2 linked regions of the Oreochromis niloticus genome follow. The protein of the gene in region 1 interacts with the protein of each later gene in a pairwise test. Links are inferred from orthologs where the notes say so. Each region holds a gene or a part of one and is shown in the gene's direction. Other genes may lie near its edges.

Region 1 (11,066 bases):
TGAGCATGTCAATCGCTTTTGACTAGTGCACGCATCTTCTGATGGCTGCTTCCAGCAGGATAACACACCATGTCACAAACTTTAAATCATATTAAAGTGGTTTCTTGAAGGTAAGTTTGCTTTAGTCTAATGACCTCCACAGTCACCGTATCGCAGTCCAATAAGCACGTTTGGGATGTGGTGAAGTAGGAGATTCACATCATGGATGTGCAAAGCTGCAGCAACTGTAATGCTGTGTGATCACGCCGACATGGACCAAAATCTTTGAGAAATTTTTCCAACAACTTGTTGAATCTGTGCCACGAAGAATTGAGACACCTAATAAAGTGACGCATGTACATGTGATAGAAAATTAGGAAAACTGTAATAGGTTCCCCTTTAAACCTGCCTTGCTTTCATCCACCTTGCAAATCGAGCGGATTCCTTTGCGAGCTCACTCCAAGAAGAATCTATCATGTTATCAATCTCACACCCCTGTTCTCTGTTCACCATTGGGGGTGGGGGGCCGGGGGGAAGAGTTAGCTGTTTGGTTGGGGTCTGGGATGCTTGGCCTCCCTGCTGCTGCAGGACTGGGGGCGGTCTGCTTGTCTCCACCCCAGAGCAAAGTGCAACATCTCCAGGGCCTGGGGGCGGATTGCCCCTTTGGGGGTGATTGTACCTGGACCTGGGGGATGTGAGTGTGTGTACAGTGTTCATTTCTGTTTGTCTTCACATTGGGCGAGTGCTGAGTATTTGCATATGTGTGCATGAGGATGGGAATGCATGTTTGTCTATGTGTCAGGTCGGGTCTTAGACTCCACCTCTCTGGGAACATCTCAGGCCCCCCCAGGTGTGGGGGTCTATCTCCCTCCACCACACTCCCTGCCAGTGGCTGATGCCCTCAGCCATCGGTGCTTTGGTGGTTCACGGTATCCAGGGCTGGGTGCTCGAGTATGTACTGGCTCACTCCCAGTGGCTGCTTTTGCTTGTTTTCTTTTTTTTCTTCCAGCAGGTAATCCAGCTGATTTTTTTAGTGTCTTTTTTTTCACTGTCCCTCTTCCTCTCTCCTTTTCTTGAACTTCTCTTGTCTAGTTCTTTCCCTTTCCTATCCTCCAGCCATCTCTCTTCCGTTTGTAATAACTTAAAAGTTAAAAATAAATTAAAAAATAAAATAATATAATTAATAATAATAAAGATCAATCAAATGGACCACGGCAAAGCCATAATGATCCACTTGGAAAAATAAATCCGTTAGGCATTTTTCTTGGCCTTCAGACAATCATTCTAATTGCTACAGTGCCGAGTGGGAGAGGCAAAAAAAAAAAAAAGAATATCATGTTTAATGTAGATCAGTCAGTGTTTGTCATCAGCTGAGTATACACTTTAATTCTTAAAGTTCCTGCTGTGAAAGAGCCATGAGACTGAAATCTAGAACACAAAGGGGGAAAAAATACAACCAAAAAAATGTATAACCAATAAAGAAAACAAGAGACAATATTAAAATTATCAGCCAACGTTCTGGTCTGAAGCAGGAGAGGGTTGTTTCACTTTAACAGAAATATGTGTTGTAATTTTTAGATATATGCAATCTGTCTCATCACTGTGCACAAAAGGAAGATCATGAGGTTTTGAACCAAAAGGATGTCACATGGATGTGACTCACAGACCTGTGGGTCATATGCGCAATAGGCAGGTGAGTAACTTTTCCTGAGTGTTTCAGGATGTATGAGTGGCAGCTTTGGAGGCACAGTTTGTTTACCAAATGTGTTCATGTCAAAACTTAAAAATTAAACTCTTTTTTAATATATAAACTTATGAATAAAATAACCCAGTAAATTCCCATAGTTACACATAAAGTTATCCTAAAAACAGCATTTAGCAACAATTTGCATAAATGATAAAACTCCTGATTATTTGCTGCTTTCGTCTGTTATGGTGTAATGAGTCGTAAACCCCGAGTAATTAGAGGAAACTTAGTAGGCACTGTGTTCACCATTAAATACGCAGTAACTTATGCTTACATAAAATAATCCAACATGCTGCAGAAATGTGATAAACGTGTTTGGTTCAGGGTTTATCACCGTGCATCAGCGAAACCCGTAGCACAATGAAATGTCGCATGTTTTTCAGTTTCTCCCCCCCAACCACAGACTGCTGGGCCTCGGTCATATGACAAGGACAGATCCCTCCTCAGTGCCCTGCCCAGCGTCTTTATGCGCAGCGGCTGATAAAACATAAAATAGTTCCACGTAAAAGAAAAGAAAAAGAAAGAAAGGCAACGTTGATTCGTAAGCCCTTCGTATACTGTTTATTTCAAGATTGTTATTATTTTTTTCTTGAATACGCGTCGATTATCATCACACAGTCGACGTTAACAGGGTTTAAAACAAGGTGAGGTACGCCCCTGCGAACTACCCTTTCCTCTACGTCATCTTGTTATTGTATCCCTCCGCTGCAGTCGCACTAGGAAAACAGCTGTGGCGAGGCTAAGGCTAGTTAGCATCGTTTGTGTTTGTGTGTCCGCGATTCGAGTCACTTCTTAAGCAACCCGTACCACCGCGGAGTGACCGACTTGTTGTCTGTCATCTCTTTTAAAGATGAAGTTTCAGTACAAAGAAGAGCATCCCTTTGAGAAGAGGCGGTCCGAAGGCGAGAAAATAAGAAAGAAGTATCCGGACAGGGTGCCAGTAAGTAGCTAACGTTAGCTCCTTGACAGCTAGCTATGTTGCCTTGCTGTTATACTGCTGTCAGGCTAATGTCGTTATGCTCACTGTTTTATTTTTATTACTAATGTAAGCTTAATATCTAAATGTGATATTGTAGTGAGATTTTACCCACACAATGTATTGCTTAGTTTGTTTACTGCCACGTTGTAACCGCCACACATGGTAGCTAACAACGGCAGAGGTTAAGTAGGAATTTCGGCCGCTTTGAGCAGGCCAGCAGGTGATCTCCGTGTTATTCTTCCGTGAATCATCATTGGTGGCCAGATAATGGTGGTTATGACTGTAACGGTGGTTACGGTGAAGACATGCAGGTGTGCACAGACTCTTTTAGTGGTCTGTAGCTGGATGTTGAAACGCAGTAGAGCGCCTTAAAATAGATGCTGTCAACAAAACGGGGTTGTTTACGTCGCCCAGCTTCTTGGAGATAAATCATAAAGGCTTTCCCCAGTTAGTCTGGCCTATCGAGACCCTTTGTGTCACAACTATCAGCTGATTTAATGTGGGGATTTTGGGTTTTTCCTGTAAAGTGTGACGAAATTCACTTGCCTTTCAATCGTGATCACTTTTAAGCTTTCGTTTTACAGTCCTTCAGTCGTCGTTTACCATAAACTTGTTCTGTGGCTACAACAAACAATTAACTATCGTAGTCAATTACCCACTGCTTATTTTCTCTATTAATTGAATACCTATTTGGTTACTAAATGGTGAAAACAGTCCATAACAACTTCCCAAAGACCCAGATGACATTCACAGATGTCGTGTTTTGTCTGATCATTTGAATTCAAACTCTCATTCACCATCATAAAATGGTACTGACAAAAAAATGTCACATCAGGTGCTGATTCATTTAAAAAAAGAGGGGGCAAAAACGCTGATTAATTGTGGAGTCAGTGTTTACCGTGTGGGCAAGTGATATTTTACCAGTCCTATTTTTAGACTGGAGAGAGACTTAAAGAGGTTTAGTAAGGAAGGCGTTCAAAAATTAAACGGCACGTCTGATAGCCGGGGTGTAAATATACCAGGTTCTTTCCAACACTGAAATACTTTTTCGAAATATAATCTGTGTTATATTAAACACTTCGTCTGGGTTCGATATGCTCGGCCTCGCTTGACTGACAGTTTGGTACACTCTCAGATCCCTTTTCCGAGACAATGAAGCGAACACCATATTTCACCCTCTACACTTGCAGCCTTTCTAATAAAAACATGTTGTACACCTGTTGTGTTTTTTTTTTTTTTTTTTTTCTTTCTTTTCTTTTTTTTCTTTTGTTTTTCTAACCTTTTAGGTAATTGTGGAGAAAGCACCCAAAGCCAGAATAGGAGATCTGGACAAGAAGAAGTACCTTGTCCCCTCTGACCTGACGGGTAAACATTGCCTTGGAGCATAAAAAGTTGTTTACTTCTATTTTAGAGTGGCAATGTCACATCTGAAATTTCTACTATTACATATTGTCTCTTTCATCAGTGGGACAGTTTTACTTCCTCATCCGGAAAAGAATCCACTTGCGAGCTGAGGATGCGCTCTTCTTCTTTGTAAACAACGTCATTCCACCCACCTCAGCTACCATGGGATTGTTGTACCAGGCAAGAGTCCTGTTAAGCTTCCTGCTCACTCACATGCTCTCACATTATGGCTTAACCAGCATGTTGCCTTTGGTTGTTCCTCTTTAGCCTCTCCCTACATTATTGATATTGCGCTAACATGTTTTTTCTTTTTTCCCCTTCCATCAGGAGCATCATGAAGAGGACTTTTTCCTCTACATTGCCTACAGTGATGAGAGTGTGTATGGGGACAGCCAAAGGGAAATCTGATCCCACTTCAACCACTACCCACCTTTCTGAGACCTCCACATCCATTCATTCATTTAAATATTAAATCCAGCTCAGCAGCCTACAGTTCCCAGAGTGAATATGTCAAATGCACTTTCACCACCCATACATTACCCCTCTTGCATCCAATTCTGTCTTTATTACTCTGCAGTCTGAATTGTATTTGTCTCCCACTTTTCTTTTCAACAGTAACTAAGTGGTCTCATGGCCAGTTCAATTTCTAGTGTCAAACCGATTGTACTTTACTTAAAAACAATGAGAGAGATTAATGAAATAATACTAGAAATAGGCCTTTTTTTTTTTTCTTTTTTTTTCCATTTGTGTTAGTTTGAGCTTAGGCTGAGAAATGAAAGGGAAAGAGAACTCTTTCACTAGGAAAAAACAAACTAAAGTGGCAAAATTTATTTAAAGCATGTTAAGGAGAATTTAGCTTGCTGCCCTGCATTGGACCTTAGCAAGGAGTATAATAGAATTCAGACTAAATTATCATCCTCTGCTTTAAGTGGTAAGACTATTATGTTGACTGCTAATGATTATTGTTGTTATTGTTGTTAATTTTTAGATGGCTTACTTTCTAAGGGTTGTGTAAAGCTGAGTGCAATTTTTTTTCTTCTCTTTTTTTTAAGGGTTTGTTTTTTTTTGTAAGAAAAAAAAAATTACAATTTGAACTCTGTATACAGCTGCGTTACTGGCTCTTTCTCTCTATTCATGACCATACATAATAAAATGTGATGAAATACTATCTGCTGTTTGTCTTTTTTGTCCCTTTGCTACAGAGTAACAAATAATTACACTTTTATTTTTTTAGCCACGTGAGTTGTGCCTTTCAATGTAATGAAACGTTACATTGGTTAATTTGACACTGTGCGCTTCAAGGGAGTTACAAAAGTTACAAAAACATGAACCTGTGATTTAGTTTGTTTTTTTTTTCTGGTTGCGTGGGTTGTTTTATCATATCAGCTTCTGTTGCTGCACTGATAATCTGACTCGCAAAGTCATGCATGTCCACGTGTATGTTTATAATTTTTGTTATATGCAAGGAAGCCATTTGACTCCAACATCTATTCTTTCCTCCACCTGCTTTCTTTAAGGCGTTACAAAAGTAGACTGGTAGGACAGGGACATACAAAAAAAAAAACGGGAAGGAAGCTCTGATGTGGCTCAGTTGGTAGAGCAGGTTTTCTACTAATCAGAGAGTTGGTAGTTTGATCCCTGGCTTCTCTAGCCTACAAGTCAAAGTATGTTTAGCCAAGATACTAAAACCCAATTTGACCTCAGTACATTCATGAAAAGAAAAGTGTTTGGGTGAATGAGACTTGCAGTTAGAAAGTGCTTTGAGTGCTCTAATAGTTGAACAGTTCTGTGTAAGTAGCAAATAACAAAGAAGGTAGTATGTAATGTAAGTATAAAAGAAAAAAAGACAAGTGGAACATGTAATTTACTGTTGTAATTAATGAGGAAATTACTCATGTTTTGCCAATGAAATCAAAGTGGTTAGCCCACATTCGGCACAAGGAAGCTTTGGTGTTTCCTAAGTCATTCCCTTGATAGGAAATCAAATATTTGAACTGTAAAACTGTCAAATCAAGCATCAAGGAAAGAAAACACGACATACACAAAACTGCTTGGAAGTTTCATTTTGCTGACGTCAACGTGAGATTCGCCGCATTGCACTTCAAAACTACAACTCCCAAAGTGCACTTCGAAGCGTGACCGCGTTCTTTGAACCGGAAATGCAACAGCATCCCCGGTCTGGAAATCGCTCCGTCTGTTTATGTTTTGTGGGAGAAGTTTTGATTTTTATCTGTTTTAACCGCTCGAGGTCTATCAAGCTGAAAACCGCCAGACGGTTAGATTCTTATTAAAAGACTCACAACGAAATAAAAGTAAGCTTTTTACAGTTTTATCAGCACAGAATTCAAAGCAGATCATGTAGGATAAAATGCGTAACGCAGTTAAGTGCTCTGCAGCTAGCCTCGCTAGCTAACGTTTGTTCCCGGTTAAGTTAAAATATATAATTTTTGTCAGGGGTTTACACTTGTAAGCTACATCACTTGTAATATTAAATTACTATGCCTTCCGTTGGTGCATTATACTCTAAATATTGTCATGTATTGGGAAGTACAGCTATCTGTGCTAACTTAGGCCGATATCGGCTAGCTAGCGAGGCCTGTGGTTGTTACACCTGTTTGGGTGAGCGTAGATGCACACTTTGATGTAGTTTAATGAACTTTAAATATTTCATCTGACCTTGTCGATTCATTACTGACATTTTGACCCACACCAGCTGGCCCCTCCACTGCCTGTCACAATGCCCGCCCTGCTTGAGAGACCCAAGCTGTCCAACGCGATGGCCAGAGCTCTCCACAAACACATAATGAGGGAAAGAGAGCGCAAGAGACAAGGTGCTCTCTCATTTTGTGTGTGTGTGTGTGTGTGTGTATGCGCTTTAAAAAGTAGTTTAGCCCTAGTGTGTCACAGGGTGTCACATCTGACACCTTTAAGGATTCTTGTAGAAATAAGCAAGCACTGTTAAGATGCTGAGCTGTGTTTGGAAAGGTAATACTCCAGAGCAGCGGTCCCCAACCTTTTTTGCGCCACGGACCGGTTTATGCCCGACAATATTTTCACGGACCGGCAATGAGGTGTCGCGGATGAATACAACAAAATAAAACTAGTGCCGGTACCGAAAAAAAGAAGATTTATTCATAACACACGTGAAAAGACCCAGGAAAACCGAGTTAACGATAAAAACAATAACAAAATAACGCTGAAAACCGATAAAAACCCTGAAAACCATACATTTCACACCTGAACCTCAACTCTCGCGGCCCGGTACCGAACGACTCACGGACCGGTACCGGTCCGAGGCCCGGGGGTTGGGGACCGCTGCTCCAGAGTATAAATTGTTTTTAGCATTTAGCCAATAAAACAAATTAATTAACTTTTCTTGTTCTTTCTTTGTAATTCTGGAAAATTTCACTAAGGTCTGCGTCATCTAGATTAAAGTCCTATGTTTATGCGTGTATTCTTCAAATAATCTATAATAATAATGTATACTTTATTGATCCCCGTGGGGAAATTCCTCTCTGCATTTATCCATCCATGATTGTGATTTACTATGTAATAATACACTCACCTGCTAGTTTGTTAGGTACAAATACATAATCATCCAGTGCATTTACCATATCGACATGGTCAAGACGACCCACTAAAGTTCAAATTGAGCATCAGAATGAGGAAAAAATGTGATTTAAATGACTTTGCTCGAACTATATTACAACCAAGGTGTCACTGAATGCACAACACGTCAAACCATGAAGCAGATGGGTTAAAGCAGCACAGGGCACCGCTCCTATCAGCTAAGAACAGGAAACTGAAGCTACAGTTTGCACAGGCTCACCAAAATTTTGCAATAGAAGATTGACAAAAAACAAAACAAAACATTTGCCGGTCTGATGAGTGTCAGTTTCCACTGCAATATTCAGATGGTAGGCTCACTTTTAGGTGTAAACGGCATAAGAGTATGATTCCATCCTGCTTTGTATCAATGGTGCAATGATATGGTGATTTTTCTCTTGGAACACGGTGGACCTCTTAGGACAAATTAAGAGTCGTCAGCCCTAGTATTGTTGATGAACATGTGCGTCTGCTTCCAGCAGGATAGCACACCATGTCTCAAAACTCAAATCAAATTGAAACTGGTTTCTTGAACATGACAGTGAGTTCACTGTAGTTAAACTACATCCACAGTCACCAGATCTGAATTTAATAGAGCACCTTGGGATGCGGTGGAACAAGAGATTCACATCATGAATGTGCAGCAGCTGTGTGATGTGCCATGTCAACATGGATCATTTCTGAGGAATGTTTACAGCACATCGTTGAATATGTCCAGTGAAGAATTAAGACAGTTTTAAAGGAATAAAGGGGTTCAACCCTATAGTAGCAAAATGTACCTAAAAAAGTGGCTGGTGAGTGTATATGTTATAGCTGTCTGCCTGCAACCTGTTCTTTGGTCATAGATCTAAAAGGCAATCAAAAAAAAGTAGCTACATTATACTCACCTTAATAAATGTACTTTTTTTCAGAGGAGGAAGAGGTGGACAAAATGATGGAGCAGAAGATGAAGGAAGAGGAAGAGAGGAAGAGGACAAAAGAGATAGAGGAGAGGATGTCCTTGGAGGAAACAAAAGAACAGGTTTGAAATGTGACATTTCAGCTAGTCTGTGCTCCCAGCTCTATACAAAACAAAGTCTGTGTGTTCTTACACCATGATTTCCTCAAATAAACATCAGGTGATGAAGATGGGGGAAAAACTTCAGGGACTACAAGAAGAGAAACATCAGCTCTTTTTACAGCTCAAGAAAGTTCTCCACGAAGAGGAGAAAAGACGAAGAAAAGAGCAGAGGTTTCTATATGTACTTCACTTAGTTTGTTGTTTTGTCAGAGGATTGTTAATTGTCGGTTAATCTTTTTGGTCTCCTTCTTTAGTGATATTACAACTTTGACATCAGCGAGCTACCAGCAGAGTCTGCCCATGCACCCAGGACAGCACCTCCTCGGCATTCAAGGCGAGAAAAGTTCCAGGTTCTGCGCCTTGCCAGAGTCGTCATTATTTTTCATATAGTGACATTCTCCTTTTCTCTCCTTCAGGCAATCCAGTCAGCCACAGCAGACCTGCCCCACTGCTCGGAGAAAGGAGCAAACAGCTGTTCCCAGCTGCTGTCCTCCCTGTGAGTAAAAGGAGTGTTCCACTTAAAGAATTCATAAAATATAATACGATCTATATAATATGCTTCTTACAGTGTTTACATGTGCACGTTGTCCTCTTTTAGGCACGCCATTATCAGACGCCTGGCTTCAGCTCAGGCTCCGCAGAGCATGGCCAGTTCAGCGGAGGTCAGGGGGTCCATGAGCCCTACGGAGTGGCTCAGGCTCAGCATCCTTCCAGCTACGCCCCCGGACCCTCAGTGCCAGTCAGTTTCGCAAGCAGCTCTCAGATCAGAGGTAAGATGAGATAAGATTTCTTTGCTGTCAATGTGTACAGTGGTACAGTAAAATTTTGAGTAATGTGTCACAGTGACATGACTTACATCCAGTCATATACACGATAAAAAAAAACTGTATAAGACAGGAAGAAACAGGAAACGAGGGAGTGAAATAAGATGCACATTAGGTGAAGGTGTAAAACAGCAGAGCACAGTACCACGCTGTTTGTGCGTCACAGTTCACAAACACAAATGTGTTATACACTAGTTGTAATTGTGTAAGAGGTCATTTTGTCCTTTAATGTTCAAACAATGTTCTCTAGTGGCACAGTGAACTCACAAAGAAATGAATTATCAGCATCATGTGTGGGATTCCTCCATCTTTACTTGGATTTCAGGAGCTGACATAGAATACAATCTGAGCCGGTTGCAGGCTGCTGTGTCAGGCTGGGCTTGTTGAAGTATAGTTGGGCAGTCCAGAGGGAGGGTATAGCCATTATTCAAAGGTTAAGGAAGGCATTCTAGTAGTTTTAAGGCTATATCCTTATCAGAGTCTTGACAGTAATAAGCATGATACACATAAATATAGCTAAAGTTAAACTAATACATGTAATTGAGTCCATATATGGTTCAGAGAACATTATGTGTGTGAGTGTGTGACCTCTGGTAAGCAGTAGATCATGTATGTGTGTGTCTGTGTGTAGTCTGAGTCATCAAGCTTCATTCTGGGCCTGCTTCAGAGCCCTGTGGGTGTTTGAATTTGAAGAGAAAGGAAAGACTGTCCAACCAATCAGAAGTTAGAAACAGTGCTGGTATTTTAATATGTGTTCATTGGCATAAAGAGAAATGCTTTTGTTGAGCAAGATGCATGTTTGAGTAGGCTGAGCCCATCTCAGCCCACAGGTACCACCAGTCTTAGTTGATTTTGATTGACATAGACGTGTACATCGTGTTTATACAAATCAACTATGAAATCATTTCTCGCACAGTTTGAAACTCTCCGCTCAAACAGTCTAAGCTCTAAACTGACAGTCCAGCCGACAGCTTTCGTTTGTTCAAAGCAGCCTGATTTCAGCCGAAAAATAAAATCCCCCACTGAGTGCGAAGTCATTTTTCTTTAAGCTTGCATTTTTCAAATGTGGATGCACCGTGGAGTCAGCGGTATGCTATTCAGATGCTCCCGTGTGGCGTCAGTAATGTCGGAAACCCGCTGATTGATCATTAAAACAATCAGATCACAGTGAGATGTATTGATTGTAATGACTTTGCCTTTTTCCCCACAGGCGCATCTGCATTTCAAGCAATGCAGTACCTCCCTCACCAGCAGGCTGGTTACCCTGTTCACTTCACCTCCCAGCAAGGTGGGTTTCACTGCTGTAAATTATACCTATGTCTAATTCCACGATCTACATAAAATTCAGAGTTGTAAAGTAACCTGACCATCTTCTGCAGGATACATCCCTGGAGCAGGAATACCCCTGCAGAAGCAGCTGGAACATGCTAACCAACAGTCGGGCTTTACTGACGCAGTAAGACCATT
Region 2 (10,047 bases), on another chromosome or scaffold:
CCAGTTCCCGTTCTACCTATAGATCTCCTCCCAGCTGAACATTGTTGAACCTGTTTTGTCAGATTCGATGATCAAAGTCCAAAGGTTGTATCTGCAGTCACAGTCAAGCACAAAGTGTTAAATCAAAATCTTTGGCTTCTGGCAAAGTACATTTTTCACAGATTTTTACAGTTATCATTATGGCGCTCAGATGATCCACTGTGGCTACCTGGACAGGGACAGCCAAAAGAAGACAATCGTGGCATCCAGATAATTTCTAACTCATCACATCCAGATTCTAACTTTTCCAGCATCAGCTTGATGAATAAACACAGATAGATGGAGCAGGAGGCTCTTGTATTTTTCCTCAGTTCCCACCTATGTTGACTTTAGTAACAAACTACACATTTGTGTCTGTCTGTCCACCAGGCTGGTTCCAGAATCTCCTCGCTGGCTACTGTCCAAAGGCCGTTTTAAGGAAGCAGAACTCCTGCTAAGATTTGCTGCTCTGGAGAACGGAGTGGAATTTCCATCTGACCTCTTTCGCTCAGCAGAAGTAAGAGCCTCTGGCCTTATCCTTGTCCAACTTGTATCACGCTACACTACATTGGCTAATGCAATGAATTTTCTATGTGGGACATTGAACAGTCTCAACAGTCTGAACAGTCTCAGCAACCCGAACAACCTCAGCAATCTGAACAACCTGAACAATCTCAGCAATCTGAACAACCTCAGCAACCTGAGGTTTCTGGTTACCTGGGTCTGCTGAGGAACATGACCACTCGAAGTATCACACTCGTAGTGTGGTTTCTCTGGTGAGTTAAAGCTTTCTCCATGAACCTTTCACTTAGCGATAACATAATTGATAGGTTTATGACTCCAGATGAAGACACAGTAAAAACTACTAATCCCATGATTTAACATGCTGACATCACCATCAGCACATATTTTGCCGTCCTACTGCAGTAATATTTCTGCTCTCTATAAATTTCAGAGAATGAACCCTTTAAACAGTCCGTGAACTTTCCTTTACCATCGCGCTCAGAACAAACTTACATTTTGTCATGTATTGGCTGTGTAGCGGGCAGGTTGTGGACCCAAATGGAGGACTTGGGAAACAAAACATGAACTCAAAATAAGGAGCTTTAATGCTGGCTCACACAAAAAATGCAAAAATCCCAAACAATAACAGGGCAGGAACCGGAGAGGGGTAGCAAGTAGCAACACAGGTGAGGACAACTGAACATAAAGAACACACAGAAAGTAAAAAAACACATCGTGAAACAGGACCCAAGGATTGACACTTCAGCTTTGTCGGTTAGCAGTGCTTTTATTGACAGTAGTGATTACTGTGGTTTCGGGCTTCTGCCCAGGACACAGGCACTCCTCTGCAACTGTCACTCTCCCTGCTCTGTCTCACTGCAAGACATAAAAAGAGTTGCAATTCATCAGTCCAGTTCAGCAGACCTGCTCTTCTCCACCTCTGCGCTGCCCTGTGAGCTCACTGTGTCACCCCTCCTCTGCAGCAGGCCAAAGGCCACACACATAAAAAGAGACTAAAGACAGGGGAATACACAGCAACTCAACGAACTGAATATAAACCAGACTAAAACCACACACAGAAGTACATGTGAAACTAAAACTAGAGAATAGAAATATAAAGAAAACTCAGAACCCCAGGGACTCTGACATGTTTTACAACTGCCTATTGATATAACTGACATTGCAGCCTCTGAGCGATCCTAACAGGATTCATTTTATTTATTGTTTGTTTGTTCTCTTGTTGTTTGCAGGTTTTCTTTGAATGTGAGCTACTTTGGATTATCATTCAATATGACTACTATCTATGGCAACCCCTTTCTGAACTACGCCTTGCTGTCATTAATGGAGATGCCAGCACACTTGGTCAGCTGGTTTAGCGCAAAATATTTTCCTCGTCGCATGTCCTTTATTGGCTTCTCCCTGCTGGGGGCGCTGCCACTCTTCCTCATCCAGATCACTCTGCACAGTAAGTGAGACCACTGTCCTTTTCTTGCTCTCTTAGTGAATATAACTGTTGATTGTGTTGAAAAATATCAACACAATAAGCCTTTTCAACAAGGCCTCACACACACAGCCACTTTGTCAGAGGTGCTGCCCTAAATGAGCTTTATAGACAAAATATCCTGCCATGCTTAATTAGAGCTGCTAATGGATTATTTGAGAGAAGGTAAACCTGCTCACCAATGTTTGAAAATAACTTGTTTCACTCCTCATAAGCTTAAAGTCCTTCTCCTCCCTTCAGAGTATCACAACATCACCCTCACCCTGGTGCTGATGGGTAAATTTGGAGTCCTGGCTTCCGAAGGGATCCTGCACCTGCTCACTGGAGAGCTGTCTCCCACAGTCATCAGGAACACGATGTTGTCGTCTGCTGCCTTATTCTCCAGAGTGGGGTCCTCTGTCGCCCCATACCTATTGCAGCTGGGTGAGATATTTGGCATCACAATCACCCCCCCACCCCCCCTCCCCCAACAAAAGAATAAAAGAGGAAGAAGAAAGTTAAAGTTGGGACAACTGTTACAACTGAGGATACTCGTATTAAAAATGTCCTAAGCTTACTCTCCAACATTTTCTGCTTGTCTTGGGTCTGAGAAAAGAATAAAGCTATTGGGATATGATGAAAATCAAAATTAATCAAATAATCCAAGACAGTATATCAAAAATGTTGAAATTAAGTGAAATTTCACAACTTCGCTAAACTCCGTTTTGAGGCAAGAGCGAGAAATGATTGAGAAAGTTGTGCAGTGCATTAAAAAAATAGCAGATGGAAAATTGAACAACTCATTCTGTTTCAATATGTTTTTGTTACGATGTCCTTGTGCTCTATTCAGTGCCCTGTAGGCTTTAAATGATCCTAATAGCGGTCTGTTTTTAATTTACATGTTTGCAAAGCGTCCCTACTTTTGTGGAAACATCATACTAAGATGATTATTCTGGGATAGAGCACTTTGTAGTATACACAGAACCTTTATGCCTTTTTTATGCAACAGATGTCGGTGTGTAGAGATGAAGTTTTAGTTCACTTTAATGACTAAAGCATCCTTAATGCACAGCTTCTCAACTCTAAATCTAACAAACTGACCTGCAGCTCAATGATGACAGAAGTCTGTAGCAGAGAAAGTATCTGAATAATCGGCTCTGGTTTTGTCTGCAGCTGTGTTCTACGAGTTCCTGCCGTGGTTGACTGTGGGTTCCCTGTCAGTCATCAGTGTCCTTGTCTCCCTTTTCCTTCCGGAGTCATTTGGAAAACCGCTTCCTGATACCATCGACCAGATGCAAGTCATTAAGAAGTAAGCTTGTCTATTGATTATGCTAGTGATGCTGCTTTTGCAGGTTGTATATTTAGGTGTGTTCATGTCTGCACCGTATATAGATATAATAATAGATAATAGATATCCTATGAATGGATTGTAAAAAAATATATATAAATAGGAAAATCTGGTTTGATTGTTTACAGTACTACAGTCTTAAAGTGTTATGTGGGTAGGTCTGTGTCATGAGACCAGAATAAGAAATATACAGTTCATTTTGAAATATCAAAAATAAAGGCGGGTACAATGTGAAAAAAAACTGAAATGAAAAAACAAAACAATTGTTGCAAATATATATCAAATATCCATTGTTTAATATAGCCTAACTGATGCAGCTCTCCTCATTTGGCTTCTAGGTTCAAGTTTAAAGGGCTCTGTCACCAAAAGGTTGATGGGAATTCACCTGGAGTCCAGGAGCCAGCTGTCAGCGAGACTTCTCTGTCTGAGATCAAATGCTCAACTGCCTTTTAAAGGTCTTGATTGAATTTGCTTTACATGATGCTTTACCTCATCATGTAGAAAGGCCCCAGTCATGAGACCAGGAAGACCAGGAACCTTCTTGTTGTGAGGCCGCAGCAGAAATCACCACAAAAACACTTCAGCCTGAGCAAGAATATGGAAGTGAAACAAAAAAAGAAAAAAACTTAATTTTTTAAATTTGAAATGAACTTGAATTTAAGTCGTGTGAGCAGTTGCCATGCTTGGATTATACAATTTTAAATTTGTGTTTAAAACTTACAAATTTTTTTATATCATTTGTGATGAAATAAAAAGACTTTGATTCAGGAGTTACCATATAAGACGTGAGGGTGGAGTGCTTGCATTGGTTACCGATGCTTTGGATTGTTGGTGGTTACATAATAAAAATAACAATAATAGAGATGAAGATAAGAACAGTAATATTAATAATAAAATCCTCTGATTTGGTTTGGTGTGCAATGAGAAAAAAATGTGACTTGTTGTGTGTACTTTCTCTTTCTCTCTATCTTGTATTTCTTAGTATGCTTATGTGTGGTTAAATAAATCAGTGAGAAAATCAAAAGTGGCTTCACACTGACTCTGAATTTCTAGTTTTGTCTGGTTTGAAACTACACTCACTGAAACAAAAAATTTCACATTTTTGATTTTTGGTGAGCTGAAATAAGCAAAGAAAATTACAGTTTTCTTTAAATAGCACATTTCATTATATGGAATGTGTAATATATGTAAACCAAGGTTGTTATAGTTATTAAAACTAAAAACACATGCCATCCATACAATAAAAATTAGACTAAAACCAACACTGAAACTAATGAAAGCTCAAATAAAACTAGAGCTTGTCAATCAATAAAAATTAAAGTAAAACAAGAAAATCCACTCTGCAAATGAAATGAAACTAAAATTAATTTTCAAAAAAAAATCAAAATGAATTAAATAATTAATAATAATAATAATAATAATGATAATGATAATAATAACAATAATAAATACAAAACTAAACCTCCCACAGAGGATGGGTGCCAGACTAGAATTTCTACTACACCAATGTAATAATTCACAGATAAACAATTAAATTAAACTTCCTCTTTTCCCACTATTACAGTGAGTCCATAGTTTTGTTTGTTTGTTTTTTCAAGGAATTTTTTTGTCAATTAAGAAAAAGTTGATATTTTATAATTACAAGACATGGCATTCTTTGCACTGAACTACTTTTCTGTACTCTTACACATTTATCATATATCATCATATTTATGTTTGTATTTATATTTATCTATTTAGCAAAGTGGCCACGTGTGTGCCCTGATGTAAAATGAATACTGAGGAAGTGGGGAAAATAAAACTTTACACACGCACGCACACACACACACACACACACACACACACACACAAACTATTTCCAAGGTTTCTGAAAAAAACAAAACAAAAAACAAGGGGGCAAAAGTGTGCAAATCGTGGTTGTAAATAAATGTGATAAGTAATGCATAACTAAACATTGGCTCCTCTGTAATGTGGTGAGAAATTGTTCCTCCAGGCATTTATTTGGAAAGTCGTTTTCACCGGAAGTCGCGTTCTTAATTTGGCTACACTGAGGCTGCGCACAACAGCCAGCTCCAACGCCTGCCTTGTGAGAGTGTGTGTTTGGAGCAGGACTGCAGCGTTGTTGAAAGCGTACTGTGAGCCCGCTGAGCTCCTCGGTGTTTTTCATGGAGAACAGATTCACTATCTGCTGATAAATCCGCCCGAGAGGACACAGAATAGGAGGAGGAGGGAAGCGAGAGGAAGAAGGGAAAAACTGCAGAGGAGAAGAAGCGACAGAGGAGAAGAGGAGGGGGGACTAGGAGGAGGAAAAAAATCGGGACAGGGAAAAATGCCGCAGATTTGACTGAAAAGGTAAGAAAACGTGCGGGATCAATAGCTACTGTTGTGGATCCCGGAGCTGCCGAGGCTGGGCGGGTCGAGGTTTGCGGTGAAGGGGAGGTTACGGCTGCAGCAGCCGCAGTCTGCAGCTGTGAATGTAGGTCATTGTGTCTGTGGGCCGAGCCGAACCAAGCCGAGACACACCGAGCTGGGCCGGATAAGCCGCAGGAGAACGAAGGTGAAGCCCCATCAGCAGCAGCAGCAGCAGCACCAGGGGGAGGAGGTGGACACAGACTGGTGCTGCAGGGACCAAATCACTTAATCTAACTAATACTACATCTGCTGCAAATAGCACAATGAACACCTTTGTGCCAAATCATAAATGTGACGCAAAGTTTAGCAGAGGAGTAGAACAGAAACAGAAGATAGTGGAGCATGAGTTTATACTTTTTAAGAAAGAGGTTAAAATGATAAAATATGTAGTGACTGAAAGAAAACTTCCTTTACAAAATCTTCAACTAGTCATCAGAACTGTGATCAAATGTAATAAAGTAAGAACCCCACAGCTCTCCAGACACCAGATCGACATGACTCACTGTAAGGACAAAAATAAGAATACTGCAAACACAAAGCTTTAATATAACTTCAAGTTAGAAGCTAGATGACGTCTGTGTGCCACATCACGTCAAGGTCACTATGTGAATTGCATGATTGCACTCAGCATGCCTGTGTAACTGAATACAGAATCCGAACACTACACTAAAATTAAAGGAGTTGCAAGCCTGTGTTATGGCTTGCATGGGGGTGATTGCTGTGTCTCAAATTACAAGCAACAGAAAGCAGCTTAGATGGTAAGGAGCTAAATCTACAAAAACGCTGAGATGGAATAAAAAAGGAGTAGTTTGACATTTTTCTGTAGAGCCTACATTAAGTCCTCCAGCAGTGCTGTAATTAACTGAAAAGCCCAGACTGGTTCTTTAAAGGAGCACAGCCTTTAATAGGAGAGTGTGAGAAACAATGCAACAACTGTAGAAAGGGTGGGGGTTAAAAAAAATCACCACAGATGTTAAGTCGGCCGATAAGCTGACAGAAATGCAAACTGACTGATTTACTGGCTGACTGCTTGAACCACGCTGACATGCCGATGAGGCAGGCAGTAAATCGCAGGCCGAGGCCGGAGCCAAGAATCTGAATCGGCCGGGAGAAGCGCCAGCTGAGAGAAAATCCGCACACGAAAATCACAGTGCTGCTCCGCTGATATTGCTCTGACACTTCGGAGCTGGACGCAGCGTTTTAGCAGCGACCCCCGGAGCTGTGTTTTATCACCTATGGCTGTTGTGCTCCTGCACTGACTTGCAAGGACGCTGTACCCTCGATAGCTGTGGGATTTCTGTGTAGTTACTGCGCATTCACATTCTGGTCAAGCCCCTCAGAGAGCTGTGGATTAAAGTGTGAGCCTGTGGGCCAACATCTGATCGTGCAGGTTTGAAAACTGTGGTCTAGTGTTGGAGTTTATTGACTATCACGTGTAACTGTGGGCCTCGTTTCCACTTACTCAGACTGCTTTTAGTTTAAGAAAGGATACCTTAGACTTAAGGAGGAAAAACTGTCTGCATGTGTGTTTACAGATGTCTGCTGTCACAATGGAAGCGACCACCATCCTCCCCATTCTCAAGAAGAAACTGGCCTTCTTGTCAGGTAAAACACTTCGATTTAAAATAAAATATCGACACCTGTTTCCTCAATCCTGGGGTCATCCCAGTTAGCACTGCTGTTTGAGCTGTAATCTGATTCCTCCCCTCTCCCACCGGTCTGCCTGTCACTCTTTAGGGGGCAAAGACCGGCGCAGTGGTCTGATCCTGACCATCCCTCTCAGTTCAGATCAGACCAGCATGGAGGAGCTTAGCGCCACGCTGGACTACCTGCTTAGCATCCCAAGGTACACACAGAGACACGACTGAGGACAGTCTGGTGTGTGTCCCAGAGCAGTGTTATCACCCGGAGACTGTTGGATTTCACTTTTAATGCTTTTAGACATGTTTGGGTTTTGGCTTGTCAGCGAGGAGCTGCTGGATCTGAACCCTGTGGCTCGAGTGTAGAAATCCAGCTTAAAGGATGATTCTAGTTTATTAAGTGTTACTATTTTTCAGCTCGTCCTTTTTGAGCGTCCCCAGCACGATCTGACAGCTGTAATTCTTGGCAGCTCGACAGGTGATTCAGTCCCATTTTCCATATCTGGCCTCTTCAGCTCACGCTTCGTTTCTTCCAAAACACGCTGGATGAGCTGTTCAAGCTCCTGTAGGTTGCTTATAGCTGACAAATCGGTATATAGATGGACTTGAAAGAGGAGCAGAAATATACGCGATGCTGGGAATGTGTGAATAGCATATAAAACAAATAAAAAAAATAGTCTCAGGCTTTATTTTTGTTACTATTTGTACTGATGAAGAAAACATAAAGTAGCCTCGGTAGCAACAGCTTGGTGAGCTGGCCACCCAAATGATGCTCAAACAGGAAACTGTGTATGTAAATGATGGGGTGTGGGTGCGCTGTTGGTAACACACTCTCTCTCTTTGTCTGTGCCAGTGAGAAGTGTAAGGCTCGGGGTTTCACTGTTATCGTGGATGGACGGAAGTCTCAGTGGAACACCGTGAAGACTGTGGTGCTCATGTTGCAGGTAGAAACACATTTAGAGTCCCTGCAGGCACAACGCAGGCTTAAGCTGCATTAATGCATTGGCTGCTATGGGTGTTCTTTAAAAAGCAGTGGGCTAATGATGGCGTTGATGCTGTTTCAGAATGTGATCCCACCTGAAGTGTCGCTGGTCTGCGTGGTGAAGCCAGATGAATTCTGGGATAAGAAGGTGACACACTTCTGCTTCTGGAAGGAGAAAGACCGTCTGGGCTTTGAGGTGAGTCTCTCAGCTGCTTCTGCTTCAGCTTGCAGCTAACTTTACACTTAAAACCCGCTCTCTCCGGAGCAGTGGGTTTGTGGATGTTGAAGATTTGTACCTCAAATGAAAAAAAGTCATATTTTGCCCCATGTGAAGCTGGGATTTTCCCCATCTGGGGCCATTTTAAACAAATGGTCGGCATTTGAGAAGCATTTCTTGTAAACCTCAGATTATTAGAGTGGGGTTTGGTTCCCTTCATCACTGCTCCAACTTTCCATGTGAACACTGCACATATTCCATATATCCTTACGAAGACAGCACAGAGACTAACACTGTTATTTTTTGCAGTATTATACATGTTTTGCTTTTGAGAAATGATGGCACCTAATCCAAAGCTCTGGCTTTAGATTTCTGTCACACGTGGTGTAAACTCTCTTAGTTTCCATCTCCAGCCTGTCAAAAATCAGGTTGATTCCCACGTGTACTTTTAAATTCACAAGCAGCTGCTCGCAAGAGCAGGTAGTACTTCCCCTAGCACTTGAGAGGGCCTAACAGCATATGTTGGCTGCTTTGTTTGCTTAGTTTTACACATGCAGTTGTTAAGTTTGCGTGTTGGGATACCTGCTTGTGGGGAAATAACATCTGCTTGCAATCATGTTTCATCATGCTCATCATTTTATGACGGAAATCCATGGCCACACATCGGCATCAGGGCAACACCTTACAAACTGTGCTCACATCAGCATCGGCTTCACTTTGTGCTTATGCTAAACTATAGAGGCGGTAGTGGGATACCTGTAAAACTTAACCTTGTAAGTACTGGTCATTATCAGCAGGCTGCTTGTGCTTATATTGGCGTCTCTCGCAGTGCAATGCTCTGCCCTAAGTATAGCCCCACACAGCTGCGTGGCTCCAGACTCCTGTTACTGCGGCTGTGAGAAGTGGTTCTAATATTGTATTTATTTTATTTTCACTTTGTTTTGTGCTGACTCTTAACTCAGTCACTTGTGCACTGGTTACTTTTGGGGCAGTTTATGCGAAATAATCAGTTATACTATTCATCCTGGAAAATCTTTGGTTTTTAGGATACTTGAAAGTAGAATGGGAGGCAGAGCCTTGAGGTTTCAGGCCCCTCTTCTTCCCAGTTTGGATTTGGGAGACAGACACCCTCGCTACTTTTACTTTAAGATTAGGTTTAAAACACTTCTTTTCGATAAAAGGATCATGTGTCCCTGAATCCTCTCTTAGTAACTCTGCAGGAGGCTGAGACTGCTGGGAGCTTCCCATGATGCACTGTTTCTTCTTCACTTTCTGTGTGTTTATACAACACTTTGTATTTAATCATTACTTAGTATTAATCTCTGGCTCTCCCTTCCACAGTGTGTCTTTTGTCTTCTTCCCCTCACCCCCAACCAGTCACAGCAGGTGGCTGCCTCTTGCTGAGTGTGGTTCTGCTGGAGGTTTCTTCCTGTTAAAAGGGAGTTT

The links. The genes of interacting proteins can lie anywhere in the genome.
Region 2: the proteins of gps2 (region 1) and sestd1 interact in binary tests that used the Homo sapiens proteins (3 or more experiments, as listed by UniProt). The two-hybrid records come from large-scale screens. The link is inferred for Oreochromis niloticus from reciprocal best matches to the Homo sapiens genes GPS2 and SESTD1.

What each region holds. Positions count from the first base shown.
Region 1 is NC_031967.2:15,820,408-15,831,473, forward strand, and holds the start of gps2 (G protein pathway suppressor 2), read left to right. Parts: upstream 1-6,233; 5' UTR 6,234-6,421; intron 6,422-6,822; 5' UTR 6,823-6,846; coding exon 6,847-6,940; intron 6,941-8,626; coding exon 8,627-8,736; intron 8,737-8,833; coding exon 8,834-8,946; intron 8,947-9,029; coding exon 9,030-9,109; intron 9,110-9,191; coding exon 9,192-9,271; intron 9,272-9,373; coding exon 9,374-9,545; intron 9,546-10,809; coding exon 10,810-10,887; intron 10,888-10,978; coding exon 10,979-11,055; intron 11,056-11,066. Other genes in the region: gabarapa (gamma-aminobutyric acid receptor-associated protein), read left to right, coding at 2,577-2,666, 3,992-4,070, 4,171-4,289, 4,437-4,517. UniProt on the Homo sapiens protein: Key regulator of inflammation, lipid metabolism and mitochondrion homeostasis that acts by inhibiting the activity of the ubiquitin-conjugating enzyme UBE2N/Ubc13, thereby inhibiting 'Lys-63'-linked ubiquitination.
Region 2 is NC_031987.2:24,164,161-24,174,207, forward strand, and holds the start of sestd1 (SEC14 domain and spectrin repeat-containing protein 1), read left to right. Parts: upstream 1-5,374; 5' UTR 5,375-5,702; intron 5,703-7,297; coding exon 7,298-7,367; intron 7,368-7,499; coding exon 7,500-7,608; intron 7,609-8,255; coding exon 8,256-8,346; intron 8,347-8,466; coding exon 8,467-8,580; intron 8,581-10,047. Other genes in the region: solute carrier family 22 member 4, read left to right, coding at 409-535, 628-794, 1,773-1,987, 2,264-2,446, 3,176-3,311, 3,689-3,803. UniProt on the Homo sapiens protein: May act as the primary docking protein directing membrane turnover and assembly of the transient receptor potential channels TRPC4 and TRPC5.